2 linked regions of the Sus scrofa genome follow. Each later gene encodes a partner of the first gene's protein in a complex. Links are inferred from orthologs where the notes say so. Each region holds a gene or a part of one and is shown on either strand. Other genes may lie near its edges.

Region 1 (4,491 bases):
TGGATATGGAGTTGCTGTGGCTGTAGCATAGACCTGCAGCTACATCTCTGATTTGACCCCTAGCTTGGGAACTTTCACATGTCATGGGTGGGGCCCTAAAAAGACACACACAAAAAAGGAAACCTCAGTTCTCTTTTTAAAGCCATCCTCCACAAACACCCCCACAGCTTTCTCACATGGCATCAGGGACAGAAATGTATATGTATACATAAGTCATCCTTTCTGAAATAGAGATTTAAATTAGAATGAGTGATGTAACATCAAACCACAAAGGATCATGAATCCTGAGCACTCGGGAAAGGATGTGAGATCAGCGAGGACAAAGACTTATACAAGTCCTTTGCTGAGTGTTGAGTAATGTGGCTCCTCTATAAATAACCCTTGATAGGAAGAGCTGAGTGATGAACTTTACATTTGCAAGCCCCTCAGATATATTTCAGGAAAGTTCCCTTGTAGCAAGACTTTACCCCCTAACTTTAAAACATCTCAAATGATTTCAAATCATTTACCTTGTGAAGTAGGAAAGGCAACGATTATTCCCCACATTTTAGATGTGGTGGCATCTCAGGAACAGAGTGGTGAAGTGACTTGCTCAGGGGTCCCAAGGTTGGAATTAGGTGTTGTCTGACTTCCACCTGGTTTGAGGCCCCGCCAGGATGCATTTCAATGTGAACCATTTCTTTGGAGGGCCCTAAATGGCAAATAAGTCTTGAAGAGAAAAGTGCCTGTCCTCTCAATTCCTTCTCTAATTTCCGTCATCATGGATTTGCCTTTTTGTCCATTAGGCAATTAATTCTTCCTGAATGAAGTTGAGGCAGGCCTCTGCTTAAGAGATGGCAGCTTCAGGGATTCCACACCAAGGAAGTGAAAGAGAGAACCAGTAGGTATTCTTGAACAGAGGAGCAGCATTTGGGATCAGACTCCATTGGCAGAAGCCCTCTCCCCAACTCTCAGGTTTATTTTCTACCATTTCACCCTGTTTCTTTTTTTCTTTTTTTTTTTTTTTCCACAAAACGGTCTTTTAGCTGAAACTGGACATTTGCCAAGTTAATTTATGCCATGTATCTCCTGATAGATGATAAGCTCCAGAAGGGCAGAGACTCTGTCTTTTGCATACCCCAGTGCATACTCAGCTCCTGGCACGGTGCTTGGAACGAAAGAAGTGCTCGAAAAATATGCATTTGGAAATCATGTGAGATCAATGAGATCCTAATGGAGCCCAAAGGATCAGTCCTCCCACAAGCTGCAGGTGTGGTTCCTGGGTCTGAGGGGCCCGGGAAAATCCTCCCTAAGCGATGTAGCTGGCTCTCCTGGGGCGAGAGGTCCGGGTGCAGGTCTGGGATGCGCCAGCCGCGCTGAGGGACGCACCCAGAGCCCCTGGCCGCAGCCATTTCCTGCTCTTTGTGTGACAGGCGCGGCGGCGAAGGGGCGGGGTGCGGGGAACGGAGGAGGAGCCGCAGCGGATGGAGGGGCGGGGCCGAGGGCGGGCCCAAGCGCGGCGGCCGCCGAGCCGGGCCAGGCAGAGCATCCTGCGCCCCGGCGCGGGGCCCCCGCCGTATCCTCGGGCAGCTCCCCTAGACCTGCTGCAGACCCAGGTAAGCGGCGCTCGCAGGCCTCGGGGCCGGCGTGGAGACCGGGATGCTGCTGGGGATGTCGACGCAGCCGTAGAGATGCGCGAGGGGCTCGCACCCCTTCTCCCAGCGCCGTGGGGGTGCTCGGCGCGGCGGCCGGGCTAGCCCGGCCTGGGGGCCCCAAGAAGCTCCCAGAGGCCGGGCCTCGGGCCCAGCACAGCCCGCTGCCCCCTTTGGCCCACCCTAGTGCCTGAGGCGCGGACCGCCTTCGGGGAGGCACCGACGCATGGAGAAGCTGAGGCGCGGTGGCGGTGGCAGCAGCAGCAGGTGCGCGGCCTGGGCCGAAGCCACCCGCCTGGGAGGAAGCGGCGCTCCTGTCGAGCATCTGAAGCACCTGCAGCGGCCGCGAGGCCGGCGGTGGCGACCTCCCGGCGCCCAGGTACCGCAGAGCGCCGGCCACCGCCTCTGCTGCCGCCTCTGCCGCTGTAGCTACCATCACCTCCCCCAGGGCCAGCTAGAGCCGCCTGGGCCCGCCTGGCAGCCGCCTTGGACGCAGCGCGCCCTGTAGTGAACGTGAGATGGGTGGAGCAGGGGTCTCCGCAGCGTTGTTTCGGGGTGGGGGGCTTTAATGAGCGAGGAGGCAGGCCTGACCCGCTTTGAAGCCTTCTGGCCTAGCATCCTCTCCCTCTGGCTGGCTGGGGGCGGGGAGGAGGTGGGGGGAAGGGAAAGAGTGGTCTGATTCCTGGGGGAAAGGTTGGGTTTTATTTAGCTCTGTAGTGGCTTCTGCGTTGCAGGACAGCCGCCTCCCTCCAGGGGTATGCATCATCTGAAAAGGTATACAAGGGCAGTTCTCCGTGTGGCAGTGGGGGTGGGGGCGGGAAGCATGGTCTGGAGTAGGTTCTGTCTGGAAAACCTGACAGAGAAGGACACCGAGACTGCCCAGGTACCCTGCTCAGCCCAGGGAATCTGACTTTGACCTCTGCCTGTCTAGTTTCCCCACCATAGCAGTGCGACTCACCAAGGACTGATGGATGGGCCTTCAGCTCCCCTTACAGCGGGGCCCAGAAAGGGACAAGGTTATTTTCCTGTGGGCTTCTGGGCACTTGTGCCTTCGAGGCATGGTCAGAAAGGCTGGGGTAGCCCTGCAGGCATGAGGGGCAATCAGGAGAGTGCTGGTTCCCACCTCTCCCTTCCCACCTCCTGACTCTGTCACTTTTGCGCACGGGGGTGGGTAGGGGGGAAAAGGAGGGGTGTGGGGAGGCCGTCGATCTTACCTTACTCTTGGGCACAGGCGCTGTTGCAAGCCATGCTGGCAGCTGTGAAGATTATAGCTGCTGGAGGGCAAAAATCTAGGTCCATATCCCTGGACAGGGTGGTGAAGGCCTTGAAAGTTGTTTTCTCCATCAGAGCTTCTCTGCGATCCCTCCTGAGACCGCTCACCTCTGCTTCCACACAGTGCCCTGTGCTCCACCCCCACCCCCACCCCCACCCTATTCTCCTGTGCCAGAAATTGTTTTCAAGAAAGGAGCCAGTGAAGGCATTTATCCTCAAAGAGCCAAATACAAACAAATTTCCCATTAGACGCAGAGCAGGTGCTTTAGAAGTCATTTGACCAGAAAGGAAACAGAGGCTTAGAGGCATTTTAATGGGAAACAAAGCTTTTAGTAAATAATATTTCATATCTCTAACGGTGGAATTTCAGGCAGTGGGCTGGAAGTGGGAGTGGGGAACTGGGTCGCAATTTTGGGGAACAGCTCACTGAAATGACAGCTTTTAGCAGCTGTCAGTGCTGTTTGCTTGCTGCAAGGGCAGCTTTGGCCTTAAGGGCAGAAATACCATAGGAGTAGTGTGTGTGTCTGTGTGTGTGTGTGTAACTGGTCAGGGGTTACTGTCACTAGAAGGCATTGTTGAGCACTCAGTGTCTATTTGGAAGAGGTGAAACCTATAGAGAGTTACTTGTTGACACTGGCTGCCATCTGCCAGAGCAGCTACTAGGCCACAAGAAGAGTGTGTTGTTGCTCTCAAAGCCAGTTCCCCTGGCTAGTTCTGCAGGCTGAGCCTCTGGCTGGGGGCATTAGCGTGCTGTTCACTAAGCTTCTTTATTATATTTCCTGGCCAGTTCTGACTGGTTCTGTAGGCACCCAGGCCTGCCTTGTTCAGTACCTGCTGGAAATGGAAAAGGAAAAACTTGTAGGCATTAGACCGAGAGTGGGATATGAAGTCCACCAGGATAGGAGAGTTTTACTCAAAGCCAATCAGAGTCTGGCGCAGAGAAGAAAGTAGACAAGAATTTAAAGACTGGAAAAGGATCTTGGGGGAATAGTACATGTCCTATCTGAAATATTGTGCCCTCTCGGGCATGCAGTGGGCCTCTGCTGCTGTCACTGAGTGGCAAGGCGAATTAGGTGATGAATAGGCAACAGCTAATTAGCATTGGGAACAGCACTCCTGGAAAATAGTGCCGAGAGCTCCAGTCCCCACATTTGAGGATCAGCCTATACTCTCAAAGAGGTTTCTCTTGGCCACTGTTGGTCCCAGGGTTCCGCCCAGAGCTGCGCAAAATGGCCTTTTATAGCCTCCATGTGGCCACCATAACAATGAGTCTATTTCTTTACTGGCATGTATTAATTATTCACTTGTAGTTGACGAAACCAGACAGCAGTCCCCTCACTGGAGCCTTTGTAAAAGGCCTCGGGTCTTATTGTCCTGAGGAGCAAAGCCAAGTCTAGGGTCCAGAGGATGGATCCTGCATTAGTCGTGGAGATGGGGCAAGGGGGGGCGGAGCATGCAGTTACCTTGAGCAGAGACACCTGTGCCATCAGTGGTGGGGAAGGATGCTCTTATTAAATAAGGGATGCCGCAAAGTGCCTAGCACATAGTGTGTACTATTATATTTATGTGTTTATTGTTATAATGCATT
Region 2 (4,399 bases), on another chromosome or scaffold:
GACAATGGTTCATCATGCTGTACAGTAGAAAAAATGACAGAACTCTGTAAACCAGCTATAATGGAAAAAATATCATTATATAAAATAAAGACAGTTCCCATCGTGGCGCAGTGGTTAACGAATCCGACTAGGAACCATGAGGTTGCGGCTTCGGTTCTTGGCCTCGCTCAGTGGGTTAACAATCCGGTGTTGCTGTGAGCTGTGGTGTAGGTTGCAGACGCCGCTCGGATCCCATGTTGCTGTGGCACTGGCGTAGGCTGGCAGCTACAGCTCGGATTCGACCGCTAGCCTCGTGAACCTCCATATGCCGTGGGAGCGACCCAAGAAATGGCAGAAAGACTAAATAAATAAAGACAAAATATTTTTTAAAATTGTTAAAAAAGAAAAAGAAAAAGGAATTCCCATCGTGGCACATTAGAAACGAATCCGACTAGGAACCATGAAGTTTCGGGTTAGATCCCTGGCCTTGCTCACCGGGTCAAGGATCCATTGTTGCCGTGAGCTGTGGTGTAGGTTTGCAGACGCTGCTTTGATCTGGCATTGCTGTGGCATAGGCTGGCAGCTACAGCTCTGATTAGACCCCCTAGTCTGGAAACCTCCATATGCCAGGGGTGCGGGCTCCCCCACCAAAAAAAAAGAAAAGAAAAAATTTTGTATTTTGTTTTCTTCTTCACTTTAGCATGTGTGTTCTGTTGCCATAATTGACATTTAAATGACCTCATAATATTGCTCTAAGTGACTATACTGATATTTAGCCATTCCCCAACAGTTGAGATTTGTTTTTTTAAATGAATGATGCCTTTAAGAACATTGTGCTCAAAGTGTTTTCTCTTTTCCAATGAGCTCTTCTTTTTTGTCTTTTTTGGGCCGCATCCCAAGGCATGTGGACTTCCCAGGCTAGGGGTCGAATCAAAGCTGTAAGCTGCCAGCCTGGACCACAGCCATCAGATCAAAGACTCTGCAGCTCTATCTAACCCACTGAGCTAGTGCCAGGGATGGAATCCACGTCATGGATACTAGTCATGTTCCTTACGGCTGAGCCACAACGGGAACTCCACCAATGACTTTATTAAATTTCCTTCTGAATAGATCTTGCCAGCTTACAGTATGACCAGCTATTTACTAATTTTCCCATTTCCCTTCAGCCAGCCTCTTCATCTCTAAGTATTATAGTTTAAAAAAATAACCTTTTGTTCATTTGATAAATGCAAGGTGGGCATCATGTGTTGTTAAAAGGCATTTTTGAAATGACTTGTGTTTTCTGTGGTTTAATTGGCATTGCCCAGCTTATTGTGGTCAGAGATCTCAGTTTGGAGCGCCTGAAGTTAGGGTTGATGCGGGCTCACGCGCCCCCTAACGACCAAAACTGCCAGTGACTGAGGGGGGACGGGGGGGGCTCTGAGTGCGTGCGCACTCCATTCTCCAAGCCGGTTTTGCGGCCACCGTTTTCCGGGGTGTGGGAGAAGAGCGAAGACGCTGGCGGGGACTTGACAATGCGCAGGCGCATCACGAAGCCTGTGGATTTGTGGCCAACCGAGCATGGGCGTGGGCTGGCTGCGTCGGCGCACTGGAGGCCTGGAGGGTCGAGGCGCGTGCGCAGTCGCGCTTCCTTCAGCTGCAGCCATGGCAGGCCAAGAGGATCCCGTGCAGCGGGAGATTCACCAGGATTGGGCGAACCGGGAGTACATTGAAGTCATCACCAGCAGCATCAAGAAAATCGCAGACTTTCTCAACTCGTTTGGTCAGCGGGCGAGCAGGGGGAGGCAGGGAGGAGGGGGGCCCGCCTAGGGAGGGCGCTGAGAAGCTTTGACGCGGGTTCTGGGAGCCGTGGGCTCCTGCTGGTGTTTGCTTCCGCCTTCAGGCCGCACTTTTCCCCTCTCGCTCTGACCCCCGGCCTCCACTGATCATTCCCTGTGGGGTTATCCTGCCCCACGCTGAGCTCATCGGCTTCATTGCCTTCCCCCCGCATCCAGTAACAAGTCCGTTCCTTTCCCGGACGTGTCAGACAGCCCCATCCATCGCCTGAATCTTTCCTTCTCTTCAGGCGTCTCCCTTCTTTTGTGCTTCGTTTCAGTCGTCACTTGGTGCTCAGAGAGCGCTGTCCAGAAGCCCTTTAGCGTCGAGCCTGTTAGTCGCCCCTCCTGTCGGTCCTTTCCTGTCTCGGCGTGTGCTGTGCAGAGTGGTAGATGAGAGCGGAGGAGGGCCCACATCGCGTCCGGCCAGGGACATCTCTGCATCGCTAGTATCTAGACCACAGTGGGTGTTGTCTGCTTCTAGCAAAATCTTTCCTTGGCATGACCTGTCCGTGACAGTCTTAAAGTTCCTTCCGCGTTGTTTCCTATCCTTGTGCTACACCCTGCAGCAGAGACTCCTGACTCTTGTTCTCCGAGTGTTACTTTGAAAGAACCGGGCACTGGGTAAACTTTTTATGTCATCACAAGGTGTGGGGATGACATCTAGTGATCTTTTTCCAGTTGTGCTTCTGGCCCACTAATTCAGCAACATTAAGCGATTAAGTAGGGGAAACTGATAAATTTAAAAAGACTTAAAAAGGAATTATTTTCTTGCTAAGAGAAGTCCAAAGGAGTGTATAAAGGTGACAGCAAGAGATTTGTCCAAAAGCATCAGCAAGACAAACTAGATCTGAGTACAAGGCTCTTTCTCAGTCTCTGTGGGGAAGACAGAATAAGAACCATTTCCTACAATTAAGTGATTTCTATTTTGAAGATGAAATAATGACATCAGAGCAAAGCAGAACATTGTTTCTGATTTAATATATTTACATATAGGAATTCCCCTTGTTGCTCGGCAGTAACAAACCTGACTAGTATCCATGAGGACCTGTGTTTGATTCTTGGCCACACTCAGTAATTTAAAGATCTGTGTTGCAGGAGCTGTAGTGTAGGGTGCAGAGGTGGCTGGGATTCTGCATTCCTCTGGCTGTGGTGTAGGCCAGCAGCTACAGCTCCGATTCAACCCCTAGCCTTGGAACTTCCATATGCCTTGGGTTTGGCCCTGAAAAGACAAATATATACATGGTCTTTTACATTTGTATGTAAATACACATTATTTATTTATAATAAGCTTATAAAATATATAAATATATATACTTGCATACAAATGTGTAGGACTATAACCTTTTTAAAAAATGTTTAAAATTCTTATAGCCATACCCATGGCATATGGAAATTTCTGGGCCAGGGATTGAATTCAAGCCACAGCTGCAGCAACAACAGATCTTTTAACCCAGTGCCCTGGGCTGGAGATTGAACCCACACCTCTGCAGTGACCAGAGCCACTACAGTCGGATTCTTAACCCACTGCACCACTGCAGGACCTCTAGAACTATAATCTTGATATGTTTTGGGATGGTGGAGTCCTCATTCAGGGACTGGGGGAAAGGTTGTATTAGTGAGCAGTAAGAATAGTATAAATTATATGCCAGTGATACATATTCATACATATTACTTGCTATAGAAGTTGTGATAGGAATGGTAGTTAAGAAATTATAGATCTCTGGGAGTTCCCATCATGGCTCAGTGGTAATGAACCTGACTAGTATCCATGAGGACTCTCACTGATTCCTGGCCTTGCTCAGTGGTTTAAGGATCTGGCGTTGCAATGAGCTGTGATGTAGGTCTTAGATGCAGCTCGGGTCCCTTGTTGCTGTGGTATAGGCCGGCAGCTGAAGCTCTGATTCAGCCCTTAGCCTTCCATATGCCATGGGAGCAGCCTTAAAAATACAAAAAAAAAAAAAGAAAGAAAGGAAATTATAGATCCCTGGAAGTTCCTGTGTGGTGCAGCAGGTTAAAGAGGCACAAGCCACAACTGTGACACAGGCTGCAACTGTGGCACAGTTCAGTCCTTGGTCTGGGAACTTCCACATGCCGAGGGTGTAGCAAAAAAAAAAGCAGCAGCAGAAAAAGAAGAAATAGAAATTAGTATCCATGAGGATTCAGGTTCGCCCTTGCTGTGGGCTGTGGTGTAAGTCACAGACTCGGCTCTGATCCCAAGTTGCTGTGGCTGTGGTGTAGGCTGGCAGTTACAGGTCCATTTTGACCTGGAACTTCCATATGCCATGAGTACAGCCCTAAAAAGCAAAATAAATAAATAAGTTCCTGGGCCAGGGATTAAACCTCAACAGTGACAACCTTTACCTGTTGAGCCATGGACCTCCCTCAAGTTTTTTCTGTCTTTTTTTTTCTTTTTTTTTTTTTAGCGCTGCCATATGGAAGTTCCTAGGGGTCGAATTGGAGCTGCATCCACCAGCCTGTGCCACAGCCACAGCAACACGGGATTCGAGCTGTGTCTGCAACCTACACCACAGCTCATGGCAACGCTAGATCCTTAACCCACTGAGCCAGGGCTCAAACCTGTGTTCTCATGGATGCTAGTTGGG

What was found.
Region 2: CYFIP2 (region 1) and BRK1 share a complex: the UniProt entries of both Homo sapiens proteins name them as parts of the WAVE1 complex. The link is inferred for Sus scrofa from reciprocal best matches to the Homo sapiens genes CYFIP2 and BRK1.

Annotation. Positions count from the first base shown.
Region 1 is NC_010458.4:65,998,542-66,003,032, reverse strand, and holds the start of CYFIP2 (cytoplasmic FMR1-interacting protein 2), read left to right. Parts: upstream 1-1,456; 5' UTR 1,457-1,595; exon of another isoform or gene 1,596-2,010; intron 2,011-4,491. UniProt on the Homo sapiens protein: Involved in T-cell adhesion and p53/TP53-dependent induction of apoptosis. Does not bind RNA. As component of the WAVE1 complex, required for BDNF-NTRK2 endocytic trafficking and signaling from early endosomes.
Region 2 is NC_010455.5:66,313,975-66,318,373, forward strand, and holds the start of BRK1 (protein BRICK1), read left to right. Parts: upstream 1-1,463; 5' UTR 1,464-1,539; coding exon 1,540-1,741; intron 1,742-4,399. UniProt on the Homo sapiens protein: Involved in regulation of actin and microtubule organization. Part of a WAVE complex that activates the Arp2/3 complex. As component of the WAVE1 complex, required for BDNF-NTRK2 endocytic trafficking and signaling from early endosomes.